Linked DNA regions of Oryctolagus cuniculus. The protein of the gene in region 1 binds, or shares a complex with, the protein of each later gene. Links are inferred from orthologs where the notes say so. Each region holds a gene or a part of one and is shown on either strand. Other genes may lie near its edges.

Region 1 (4,264 bases):
GCTGTCTTTACATATTTGATGTTCAAGTTGTCAAAATTGGGACATCCTTTTGAATGACCCCGTCACTCTGAGCATTTTTCCTACTTCTGCATAACAAGACACTCCAGGCTCATTTTGTGCAGGCTGGAATGTAGCCAATTTTCTAAAGTTGCTGAAAGGTGGCTTTATGAAGTAGAGAAAGCAGTTTTGGGGTTAAAATCCAGCTACGTGCCTCTGGGCAAGTTCTCTGCCAAGTCTGTTTTTCTCATCTCAGCTGTAACTTCAGATCACACTGTGTGATTTCTATAATAATTGGGAAAGAGCCGGACATAAAGTTAGGAACTAAAGATTATAGCAAAGTTAAAGATGCAGGGGTGTAACATCTGGCATAGCGCCTAAGACGCCCACATCCCAGATGGGAGTGTCTGGCTTGGAGTCCCCGCTGGGTTTCTGACCCAGCTTCCTGCTAATGCACCCTGGGAGGCAGCAGGTGATGGCTCAAGTAGTTTGGGTCCCTTCCACTCACTTGGGAGTTCCCAGCCCCCGGCTTCAGCCTGGCTTGTTGCGGGTGTTTGGGGAGTTGAGCCAGTAGGTCCAAGAGCGTGTACGCTCTCTGTCTCGCTCTCGCTCTCTCATAAAGAAAATTAAGAATTTTTTTTCTTAAAAGCTGAAGATCCACGACACGATGACTAACCAGAAAAAACCCAGTGCACTTTGGGGTAAATAATTCTAACAGCTATTCGGTCTACACCACACTGATGATCACCCTGACTTGCTGCTCATCATTTAAACCGACAACACGTAAGTCACAGCGAGCATCTCCTGAAAGCTCAAGTCCAAACGCATCTTCTGGGGGGTGTCCAGCAGCAGGCGGTCCTCCTCCAAGCGCCAGTTCTCCGAGATCTGCATTCAGCACCTCCCATCCGGGCTAGTCCAGCGTCGGTCGCGCGGAGAGGGGCTGGCGGCTGCGTCGCGGGCACCGATCAGCCCGTGCTGCCGCAGGTGCTCCCCAGGCCGGCGGGGCCGGGGGCCCGCGGGCAACGCCCCGGGGGAGGTCCTGGCTCCTAGTCTGCAAAGAATTCTGCCGCGGCCCCTCCGTTTCACCTCCCCGCCTCCAGGCCCGCTCCTCTCATTTCCTCTTAGAACGCTGAAACGGGTGCTACCGAATAGACAACCTTCAGGTCGAAGGGGGCTGTGGCAGAGGCGCCCCCAAATCGCGGTACCCGGGGACCTGAGAGCCCCGAACGCGTTCTCACCGTTGTAAACTAACAAAGCGACCCCCCATTAGCCAAGCTGCCGAGAAATCACGTGTGCGCCACAGGGTACGCGGCCTCTCACAGCCGGTTCTTCAAGGCAGGGGAGAAGACTAGTAACGCCGAACGCGTCTCTGGTTGCTGGGAGACACGGCTGCGCCATCTCCTCCAATCAGCACACGCCTCTTTTTGACCAATCATAGAAGGCGAAAGAGCGGTGGTGGGAGGTGAAAGGTCAAGCTGAGGTTTGGCGGCCATTTCTCTTGCAACTTCGGAGGTCTGGGCCTTGGGGGAAGCTGCTCCGAGCACGCGGGACGGGCTGTATCTGCGTCGGCGGCGTCTAATCCGCAACGTTAGCCCGAAGTCGTGATGGTAAGGAGAGGGAGGACTGCTGGAGTCGCGAGACGGAGAGGGCGGGAAGGCAACTTCGGGCTGGCTGAGCCTGGTGGCGGCTTCGCGCCTTTCCCATTCATCCGCGAGGCGCAGCGCACCGGGGCGCCAGTCTGCGGGTTCCGCGGACGCGCGCGAGTCCCTTCCTGGCTGGGACGACCCTCGCCTCCTGCTGCCTCTTCTTTCTGAGTCCAGGGAAGAAAGAGGTAGTCGGGGTGGATGTAGCAAACGCTGAAGCGGTTTGCGTTTCCCACTTCGTCGCACTCATGAAGCCGCTTTTATTCCGTCGGTGATGTTTCTCCAGCCCGCCTTGGCCCAGGCCCCGGAGCGTTCGTGTATTCGTTCTGACGCTTATTGAGCGCCGGCGACTTGGCCAGGTTGAGTCTTGGGCTCCAGGACTAGAGACTGAGAAGTGCCCATGCGGACCCTGCACCGGCCGAGCTGGGCGGGGTGTGAGAGACAGACGTCCGTCAGGCGCTGTTCACCGAAATGGGCACCGGCCTAGACGGGAGCGGGCGGGAGGCTGCGGCCCCGGGGCGCTGGGGCGCCTTCCGCGGCTGCCCCCGGAGGGGGGCTTTCACCCGAGCCCGGGTGACAGGAAATGGGGCTCCGGAACGATGAGGGAGGGACAGCTACACTCGTGGTGGGTGTTGGCCGAAAGCGGCCACCGCTTGCGAGAGCGCCAGGACCTGGGCAGCGTGTGGAGGGTCTACCCCGGCGCCCTCGGCAGCCGTCGGAGCTTTCTCATCAGGCCCGATGGGATGCGCTCTGGCACACGTCGTAGCGGCTGTGTGCTCGCTGCGCCCGAGAAGTGGGGAGCTGGGGGCCGTTAGGCGGTTATTGCGGGTGGAGCCCTCCTACTTTTCCCGCGATTTAGTAGCGGTGTCTGGGTTCTTCCTCGGGGTGAGGAGGTGAGCGCGGAGAGACTCGGTTCGCCGGCGATGCACCGGTCGGGTGAGGACCGAGCCCTGCCGAGCTTGGTCCTGCCCCGAGTGGGATGCTGACCGTACTGCTTGTTCTCGGGATGACGCGCGCAAGCGCACACATACACACGGTCATTCCAGATGGGAAGCCTCCCTGGCCTCCAGCGGTCCCCTTTCCCTCTGGAATAGACTTCACCCTTTAAAACGGAGGCATTGCTCCTACCAGGCAGCCCGTTCCTGTCTTTTTTCCTGAGTTGGTTGGGCCTTTCTGCATAGCATCGCTCTTACTGCTTTGCAATATAATTGTCTGTATGTCTGCAGCGCCACACCCCCACCCTGGCTTCTTAAGGACAGAGCCTCGTTACACGTTTGTTGTAGGGCTTTCATCTTTGTTTCCTTAGAGCTTGCGACACTGAGGACTGCAGGTGCCGCTTGTCTCCTAAGTGCAGCGTGAACACTTATTTTTTTGTGATGGGTTGAAGACGAAATGGGATAACTGGTTAAATTTCCCAGATGCTAGCCGGCGCCGTGGCTCACTAGGCTAATCCTCCACCTTGCGGCGCTGGCACACCGGGTTCTAGTCCCGGTTGGGGCGCCGGATTCTGTCCCGGTTGCCCCTCTTCCAGGCCAGCTCTCTGCTGTGGCCCGGGAGTGCAGTGGAGGATGGCCCAAGTGCTTGGGCCCTGCACCCCATGGGAGACCAGGAAAAGCACCTGGATCCTGGCTCCTGCCATCAGATCGGTGCGCCGGCTGCAGCGGCGGCCATTGGAGGGTGAACCAACGGCAAAGGAAGACCTTTCTCTCTCTGTCTCTCTCTCACTGTCCACTCTGCCTGTCAAAAAAAAAAAAAAAATTTCCCAGATGCTCTTCAACAAACAAAAGTGGAAATTAGGTAGTAGAGTGATAGGGAGTGAAGAGTTTGCTTCATTTGGATGTTACAAAATATTGATTGGTGGATTGGTAGAGGAGAGTGAGGAGTGGAAGCCAAGTTAAGGAAAAAAAAAAATCAATGGATTTTTTGTTTGTTTGTTTTGTGCAGAGTTTACCCCTCAATCCCAAACCTTTCCTCAATGGATTAACAGGGAAGCCCGTGATGGTGAAACTCAAGTGGGGAATGGAGTACAAGGGCTACCTGGTGTCTGTAGACGGCTATATGAACATGCAGGTAAGCTAGAGGTGAAAGGGTGGTGACACTGTGTTTCTTCTGTTCCACTTTATTCCTCCAAGGTTTCGTGTGACTAATAATTCATACAGTTGGCAAAGATAGAACAAAATTCAGGAATGAAGTCAAGGCCAGGGAGGATGTTACAACTGATAGACTAGGTACAAGACACGGGGTTAGGCCAGGATTCACAGACCTTACTCGTGGTGGGTAAAGTGAGGAGGACTCAGGCATTTGATTATTCATATAATAAGGGAAATACATGAGTTGCTTTCAAAAGCAAACCTTTTTCCAGCGCTTAAATCTGATATTTTTCAAGTGAAATTCTTGTCTCTTAATGAATGCTAAAGGCACAACATTAATGTAATCAACTAGAAGCATTTCTTCAGAGGGAAGACAGATTAGCTGAAAGAATTGATGAACTATGTTGGTTAAACTAGTTGTAAATGATTTTGCCAGTGAGGGGGGGGATTTGGTGTGAATTTTTTTATTGTGATAAAATATACATAAAAATTTGGCCACTTTAACCATTTTTAAAGATGTCACTCAGTAATAGT
Region 2 (4,097 bases), on another chromosome or scaffold:
ACAGGCGTTAGGTTCAATGTTAGTGTTATAACTAGAATCCATGCCTTTGTAAGGTACATGTAAAACTAAGATGAAGAATAACTAAGATCTAAGACAAAAAGTACATTTTGCAGTTACACAAAAGTAGGCCTTTCACTGCACTATTTATGTCTTGGTTTAAAATGTAAGAAAAAAGATCACTATATTTTATTTAATAAGAGAAATCTGGAATGGTTTATAGTTGGGAGTTTCTAGGAAATTAAATGACATGATCTCTGGAGATATAATCTAGGCCTACATTTCTATAATAATAAAACTGAAACAAAAATATTCAGAATAAAGAGTTTTGGTATGGACAAAATGAACTCAAATAATTTGAAGACATGACTTTAAAAGAAGTCTACTTTTGTTTACCAAAAGAGTATATAGTCCATAATTGATCACATAGGACTGTTCTGAAATAAAACTCATTAGGGTCACTTTTTTAAAGTAAGATACATACTACATGTTCCACAAACTAAAAAACTTATGAAAAGGAATTATATGAACCCATTAGTGTCTGATGAGGAGTGGGTAGGCCTCACAGCTAAGATGCCTGTGTCTTACACTGGTGTGCCAGGGATTCACTCCCTGCTCTGGCTCCAAACTCAAGCTTCCTGCTAATGCAGACCTTGGGAGACAGTGGGGATAGCTCAAATAATTGGATTCTGGCCTCCAAGGTGGGAGACCAGCATTGTACTCCCAACTTCATTTCAGCCCAATCCTGGGCACTTGGAGAGTGAACCAGTAGATGGAAGTACTCCCTCCCTCTCTAACAATAGTAATAACAAATTAATATTTAAAATGTTCATAATTTTAAATATCAGATAAAGAAATTGCTTAGAATGTAGAAAGAAAAGGATATACCAGTATAAAAATTTAAAATGCCATTCTTTATTTGGTCTTCGGTTAAATATAATTTAGATATATCTAAATTAGATAGACTTTCCATGACTATTCCAACTAAAGTAATTCTCCCTTCTCTCCTCCCCAAGGTTTATTTATTTACTTGAAAATCAGAGTGACAGAAAAAGAGGGATAAACAGAGACAGAGAAGATAGAGAGATCCTCCATCTGCTGGTTCACTCCCCAAATGGCCCCAACAGCCAGGGCTCGGCTGGCCAAAGCCCAGAGACAGGAGCTTCTTCCAAGGCTCCCACATGGGAGACAGGGGACCCAGCGCCTGGGCCATCCTTTACTGTTCTCCCAGGTGCACCATCAGTGGGGCAACTGGGACCCAAACTGGTGCCCATATAGGATGCCAGCACTGCAGACAGTAGCCTAACCCTTTGCTCCACAGCACTGGCTCCTGGTTTATTTCTCAAAAGATGGCAACAGCTGGGGCTGGGTCAAAGTTAGGAACTCCATGCAGGTCTCCCATGTGGGTGGCAGGAACTCAAATACTTGGGCCATGATCTGCTGCTTCCCAAGTGTATTATTGGGAAGCTGGATCAAAAGCAGAGTAACCAGCACTATTATATGGGTGTCCCAAGCCGTAGCTCAACCTGCTGCACCACAATGCCCACCTGGGCTCTCTCTTTTATTATCATAGATGTTTATTTTCTTCACTGCAATATTCACAATACATAATTTTAATTTTTGTTTGTTTACTCCAACTTCTTCAGAAGAATGTAAGCTCTATCAGGGTAGGCATCTTTTATCCCTTCCTGTATTGTATTCCCAGAGCCTGGCACAACCTAGTCACAACAAAAACAACTAACTTTACTTTTCCTACTTGCTGAATAAATAAATAAAAGTGTCCATAAGTAGAAATGCACATAACTAGAAAAGCCTAAGAGATCAGCTTTCTATTCTTAGAAAAACAAAAACCAGCCAAATTCAGAACATGCAAACTACACTAAATAAACACCAGAGAAGTAATTATGAAAACGTAACTGGAAAAAGGTTCCTTAAAAATAAAAGTGCAAGTAGCCTATTTAAAGGCTCCTTAGGTATTGGGTCACGTCCCTAAAGTAAGATGAGCAAGTCTTCATATAAACTCCAGGTCACGAAAAGGTTCTTGCGAGGCGGCAGAGGCAAAGCGTGCAAGCCAATGCTTAACTCCAGAGGAAGCAGTCAGCTATCACGTACACCACAGTCGACACTCTCGGATATTATAAGAATGTGTGTGTCAGGGAAATCCCCATAAGATTATAAAACTCACAGAAACATTCACACTCTGCTTCCTTTTCAACTTCTTTGGGTCAATCTGAGCTACCACAACATCTGGACATTGAGCTGCTTCGATCCTACAAATAAGCAATAAATGCAAGAAATTTAATTACTATCGCGCTTTGTTCGCGTGCAGTAAAACAAGCGATCCACTTCCACAGTTCATTAGGAAATTAAAAATCCAGAATTCCAACTGGGGTACTAAACACGGGATGTCTGACATTATCTGGATTGAAAGCAAAGAAATCCAAGAACACACATCTCGGTATCCGTTATCAAGTTAAAAGGAAACTCGCCACTTGGGATGTAACCCAGAGATGCGGAGCATAAACTGGGACAACAGGGACGGGACTTTTTGGCACCACGGGCCCTGCCCAGCGGCAGGGGGAACGATGAGCCCACCCGTACGGGGCCAAAGCACTCACTGGACCCGCCTCAGGTACTCCTGCGGCGTCCTTGGGGGTACCGAGGGATCGAAACCCTCCGTCAAGTCGCAAGGCTCCACCGGCAACAGCCGGGGCATCAACTCTTCCACCGCCGACTCGGAAGAAGGTACCCACGCCATAGCTTTCAATCCAGCCGGTCCCTCCCTGCGCATGCGCCTAGTCTAGGTCATGGCGCAGGCGCACAAGTAGGTGTATTTTGGCGCGCTGCAGAGCCTGCGGCAGTTTAGAAAGCGTAAGTGCGCATGAGCAGAGGCACTACTTGCCTGGAGGTTAAGGCTTCAGTGGGAAAGTGAGCCGCAGGTTTGGTTCCTGGAAGTTGTCCTAAAGCGGTTTTCGGGTTTTCACATCGTGTTTTCTCGTTTAAGGCTGGAGTAAAGACTGAGGGTTATTAACTTCTATTCATCCCTATTAGTGTACGATCCTTAAACGCTTTAGGATCAAATCACGTATTTGCATAATTATCATTTTTGGAGCTCTAAATTCTTAAACCCCAGGAAAATCGTTTTATAAATTTCCTCATTTAATTCTCACAACAACCCTGTGAAGAAGCTAGTATTATTTCGGTTTCGAGGGGGAAGAAATCGACATAAAAAGTAGTTAAGTTCTACAACTGTGATTTTCTTCCAAGCAATTACAATCCTGATACCAAATGAATGAAAAATCTCTTTGCTTAAATACAAATAATCAAAGGATAAAACTAGCACCAGCATTCAGAAATTACCATTATTAATATTAGGTCAATCCTGTGAGGTGGTTGCTATTATTATTTTTATTTTATAGGTGTGCAAACAAGACAGAAATGAATTAAGTAACTTGTTCTGAGTCACAAAGTGCAAGAAACAATGGAAGTATTATATCTGATCTTTTGTAAACAGACTCTGAGGGAATACAATTGACCTTTATTTTTTAACGTGTATACTTTTAAGACTTTTTTTTTTTTTTTTTTTTTGGCACTGCCTTTAGCTTTCCAACCAGGATGTAACTCATTTAATTGAAGATAAAGGGAGAACAGTTCTTAAAAGAGCTAAGAAATTAGTAGTACTTACCAATTGTAGCTACACAGTTGCTGTCAAACTGGAAAGTTATTTGATCAAAAATTTTTCACTGGGGTGGGCATTGTGGTGCAGCTGTTAAGACGCCGCTTGGGTCATCTACATTTCATATCTGAGTGCCTGGTTGGAGTCCTGGCTACTCTGCTTTGGTTTGATTTCCTGCTAATGTGTACCTTGGGAGGGAGAAGGTTATGGTTTAAGTATTTGGATCCCTGCCATCCACGTGGGAGACCCAGAAGGAGTTCCGGGCTTCTTGGATCTGTCTTCAAGCAGGCCTGCCTGTTGGGGGCATTTGGAGAGTGAACCCATGGATGGAAGATCTCTCTCTCTCTCTTTTTCTATTCTCTCCGTTTTTCTCTCTATTCCCCTCTCTATGTTGCTCTGCCTTTCAGATGAATTAAAGATTCTT
Region 3 (4,139 bases), on another chromosome or scaffold:
TTTTATTTGTTTTTATATTTCTCAAATATTGCTGATAACACCATACTGACCTTGATTGGCAGGATACTGTTTATGGCCATATGAATCCGTTGCATTCTGGGGGCCTTTCTCTTTAAGATTTTCTTTCGAGGTTGGCATATGCAACACAGGACCATACTCATTACGAAGCTTGATTGCCATTTTTCGTTTGTGACTATTTAAAAATTATAAACATAAGAATGTATCCTTAAATATGTAAAATACACTCACAAATTTAAGTGTTTACAGATAGCTAGGAAACATAATTTAAGTTTGCCCAGTGACGTATAAGTTTCTAGTAAGATTTTAAACAATATTTCAAAAAAACCTAAAATTTCCAAGTGCATTTCCACATCATATGTAGTTACTTTAATTCACAATTTATCACATGGCAGGCATTAAATCCAAGTAATATTTTAATTTGTCACTTAATAAATAAAACATTTCATGATTAGTTATCAAAGGTCAAACTGATTTAAAGATATATAGAAACTAATATACCCTTAAAAATTCTTTCAAGGCCTACACTTATTTCCTTCATATATCTAAATATAAAAACAGTAAAAATTACCTCAGTAACCTTAAACAGATGTATCTAGAAAGGTTAGTTGGAACTAATCAAAGTACTAAATTAGTTCAGTATTTTTAAAAAGAAATGCACTTATATTACTTTTAAGAAAACCTCATCTTGTAAATGAAATAGAAATATTTGTTTCAGGAATTAAGTTTTAAAAAGAAGGGCAAAGGACAAAGAAGGAACATTGCACATAATGCAATCCCAGACTGGAGCTGGAGATGTAGAACCAAAACTATGCCCCCACTCAACAATCTTCACCATACTAACGAGAAAAGATGGGAGTAGAAGTACTGGCCAGGTACAATTTCAGCTCAGCAAGGCTCTGAGAGCAGCGGGAAGCTGAAAGCACATACAAAGTGATTGATTATAAAATAAAATACCTGAACGGGACTCTCCTAATTACCGGACATTTGTAAAATGCAATTAATTAATGGGATTCTTTACCATAAAGGCCAAAAAAAAAGAAAGGTTAAACCAGTTAAAATTATGCCCAAAGAGCTTTCATTAAAGAGACAGTCCATGAGCACTACCTGAGTACTACATGAGTAAAACCAAGTATTACTAAGTAATGTTTAAAGGTCTCCCTTTCCCTGATCTCTTCTCCCAGTATTAGAATTTTAACAATTTTAGCAAATGAAAGAAAACTATGCCTACCTCTCTTCATCCAAAGGCACAGGTTTTCCATTGTCAGCTACAAACATGTCATGGGTCCTCTTCAAGGACCTGAACACAAGCGTGTGCACAGAATGCTTCTGCACTTCCTAGAGAAAGGGAGAGAGAGTGTGTGTGTGTAATTACACACTTAACCTATAAATTACCCACAGCGTAACCTGAATTACAGTCAAACTCATCAGACGCTTTACGTGTGTGAGAATGTCGAACGCTCCATACCACTCACCACAGCTACTCCTGCAGCAAGCTACAAGGGGTCAAGTTCATCGCCAGAGCCTCGGCTAGAGCAGCTGAGTGAGGTGAGAGTACCCCCTTACTCAGGAAATACCTACTAGGCTCGCTCCACCTCTCTGTCAGCACGGTGCTAAAGCTGACAACAGAATGATAGGCAGCACGCTCCTTGTACTCAGGAGGAAGAAGACAAGCAAAACTAGGAAAGCAAGTCCACACTTGGGTAAGCGCTATAAAGACAAGAGGCCAAGGCAGAGAACACAGGAGGAACCAGATATGACGGCGAAAGAGCGCTCTGCAGCGAAGTCCGAACAGACAGGAGGGAACACAGGTAAGCGCAGCCCAGGCAGCGGCACATGCCCAGTGCAAAGGTGACCAAGGACTGAAATAATGCCCGGGGTGCAGGCTGGGTGACAGGGTGGGATGCGGAGTAAGCCGAGGTTGCCAAGGCAGGTAAAGTCCAGTTAGGAAAGGCCTTTTTTAGACCATTCCAACAGTCTCGAGTTTTGTCCTATTGTCACAGGGACAGGAGAGGGGTTTAAGCCAGAAAACCATGGCCAACTTATGTCTTGCATAGAACAATTTATAGGAGGGCAAAAAAAGAAGAAAGTCAGCTGGAAGCCAGTGCGTCGCTCCTGGCTAAAGATAACGTCCGTCTGAATTAAGATGACTTGCAGCGGATATGGACCAGAGAGGATGGCGTCAGGCAATGTTCGCAGTAAGACGAGCAAGGCCTGCTAATGTTCAAACCAGGTGGGAAAAACACGTAAGGCATCAAGAACGGCAGGCTTTCCTGGCGTGGGCTGAAACACGAGGTGAATTGACCGCCAGAGTCTTTTAGGTGGCAGAATTAGTGCCACTATGTACGCCGGCAGCGACAACCGGCCAGGGGTCGGACATCAACAGGAGCCCCGCCTCCGAGGTCAGAGCCCGGATTCCGGGGGTCAGACAAGCACTGCAGAAATCATCTACGGCTCCCCGCCGGACGGAGCTTCAGACTCGGGTTTCCATGCACCCTAGACCCTTTGCGCAAAGCACCTCCCTAAGAAGAGACCACTTGGCCTTGGCCACACAGCTGCCCTGGCAGCCTCTTCCCTCTCCAGCCTCCCAGCACGCTCCATCCCCCCAGCGCGCTGCCAAATAAAACATTCCAGAGGCAAACGCCTCCTGAGCGCCCGACCATCACTTTACCTCGACCATGATGATGCCGTGTACCCCAGCTCTCCTGCAGAACAGACACCTATCACCCGCGCAGAGAGCGCCGCCACAACTGGGCAGCCACTTCCGGAATCGGACGGCCTGGCGCCGGATATGACGTAGAGCGCTGCGCGCGCGCGCCGCTCGCTCGGCCTTTCGGGATCAGGGGCGGGGGGCGGGCCTTCCTGCTCGCGCCTGGGGCCGAGTCTGAACGGACAGGGCTGGGACGTGTCGCAGAGCGTTGTGAACGAGTCAAAATACTGTTTTCTGCCAAATTGAATCAGTTTTACAGTGCGTTAGGGGCCCTGGTCCGTTGTGCTGAATTCCTTGGAAGCTGGATGGCTTTTAGTCGGAAATGTTAAGAAATCAGCGCGGGGGACGGGGGGCGTTCTGGAGAGCGACCCTGCCTGGGCTCTGAGGTCCTGCCCTAACACGGTCTCACTGACTTAGGGGTCGCCTTCCGCGTTTGGGTCGGCTGATTGCAGCGCCTGGCTGGATGCGCTTAGAGCCTGGTGCGTTCTCAGCGCTTGGAAATAGTTGCGCTTACAGAATCCAGCGGCGCTGGTGGGAAGGCATGCTGCAGAACCGTGGTTTCAGGTTGAGAAATTTGGACATGTCTGCAGAATAACTCTTTTACCGCATTCAGCACAGCCCCACATTTATTTTGGGCTACATAGTGTTTTAGTTTCTCATAAACGACCTACCACTTGTCTACTGCCTAGTTGTTGGTGAATATGGGTTCAGTAATGCCACGATGCAGCTACAAAATTGATGTAGTTGAGTGTTTGCAAACAGATCTACAGTCATCTCGGTGGCCCCGGTTCTCCCTTAACCCTCATCAGTTTCACTGATCCTGTCCCCAGCGCATACTGCGGGTCTGGGGTGCAGTGGGGCGCGTGGGAGGAGTCTCCAGCAAGAACAGGGCAAAGTGGTTCAACAGTCTCCTGAAATTCACGAAGTTTTAATTTTATTTAAAACATTAAGGTTATGTTTTTACTTGAAAATACCATCATCTCAGAATTTGAATGCGAGTTTGACTTCAGATTTTATTTTCTGTTAAAGTGGCCCAGGATAGGACACTTTGCAAGGAAATGCTGTAGAGTACGTATACATAGGGAATAAAAATATAACTCACCTATGAATAGTAATTACTATGGAAAAGAATGTTTTTAAATGACAAACTAGAAATGTAAGCAAGACTCCAATGTATCCGACAATACAAGAACTGTCTAGTTGGACTTGTAAGCTTGTTCGATAATCCTGGAGACATTTAATTTATAAACCCAGACTCTTATAAAATATTGTAGTGATTGAAGCAAATTGAACTACTTTTTACTCTTTTTAAAGCACTGTTGAATATACAGAATTATGTACTGTGCTTGAAGCTTTATGGTCTACAAAGCTCGAGTGACCCTCTTACCTAGTTCAGAGATACATGGATTAT

Evidence for each region.
Region 2: SNRPF (region 1) and GEMIN2 share a complex: the UniProt entries of both Homo sapiens proteins name them as parts of the SMN-Sm complex. The link is inferred for Oryctolagus cuniculus from reciprocal best matches to the Homo sapiens genes SNRPF and GEMIN2.
Region 3: SNRPF (region 1) and PLRG1 share a complex: the UniProt entries of both Homo sapiens proteins name them as parts of the minor spliceosome. The link is inferred for Oryctolagus cuniculus from reciprocal best matches to the Homo sapiens genes SNRPF and PLRG1.

What each region holds. Positions count from the first base shown.
Region 1 is NC_091442.1:98,723,661-98,727,924, forward strand, and holds the start of SNRPF (small nuclear ribonucleoprotein F), read left to right. Parts: upstream 1-1,464; 5' UTR 1,465-1,601; coding exon 1,602-1,604; intron 1,605-3,584; coding exon 3,585-3,710; intron 3,711-4,264. UniProt on the Homo sapiens protein: Plays a role in pre-mRNA splicing as a core component of the spliceosomal U1, U2, U4 and U5 small nuclear ribonucleoproteins (snRNPs), the building blocks of the spliceosome.
Region 2 is NC_091443.1:36,529,034-36,533,130, forward strand, and holds the start of GEMIN2 (gem-associated protein 2), read right to left. Parts: upstream 2,801-4,097; 5' UTR 2,789-2,800; coding exon 2,616-2,788; intron 2,268-2,615; coding exon 2,183-2,267; intron 1-2,182. UniProt on the Homo sapiens protein: The SMN complex catalyzes the assembly of small nuclear ribonucleoproteins (snRNPs), the building blocks of the spliceosome, and thereby plays an important role in the splicing of cellular pre-mRNAs.
Region 3 is NC_091439.1:11,052,317-11,056,455, forward strand, and holds the start of PLRG1 (pleiotropic regulator 1), read right to left. Parts: upstream 2,801-4,139; 5' UTR 2,699-2,800; coding exon 2,690-2,698; intron 1,357-2,689; coding exon 1,250-1,356; intron 935-1,249; exon of another isoform or gene 863-934; intron 194-862; coding exon 51-193; intron 1-50. UniProt on the Homo sapiens protein: Involved in pre-mRNA splicing as component of the spliceosome. Component of the PRP19-CDC5L complex that forms an integral part of the spliceosome and is required for activating pre-mRNA splicing.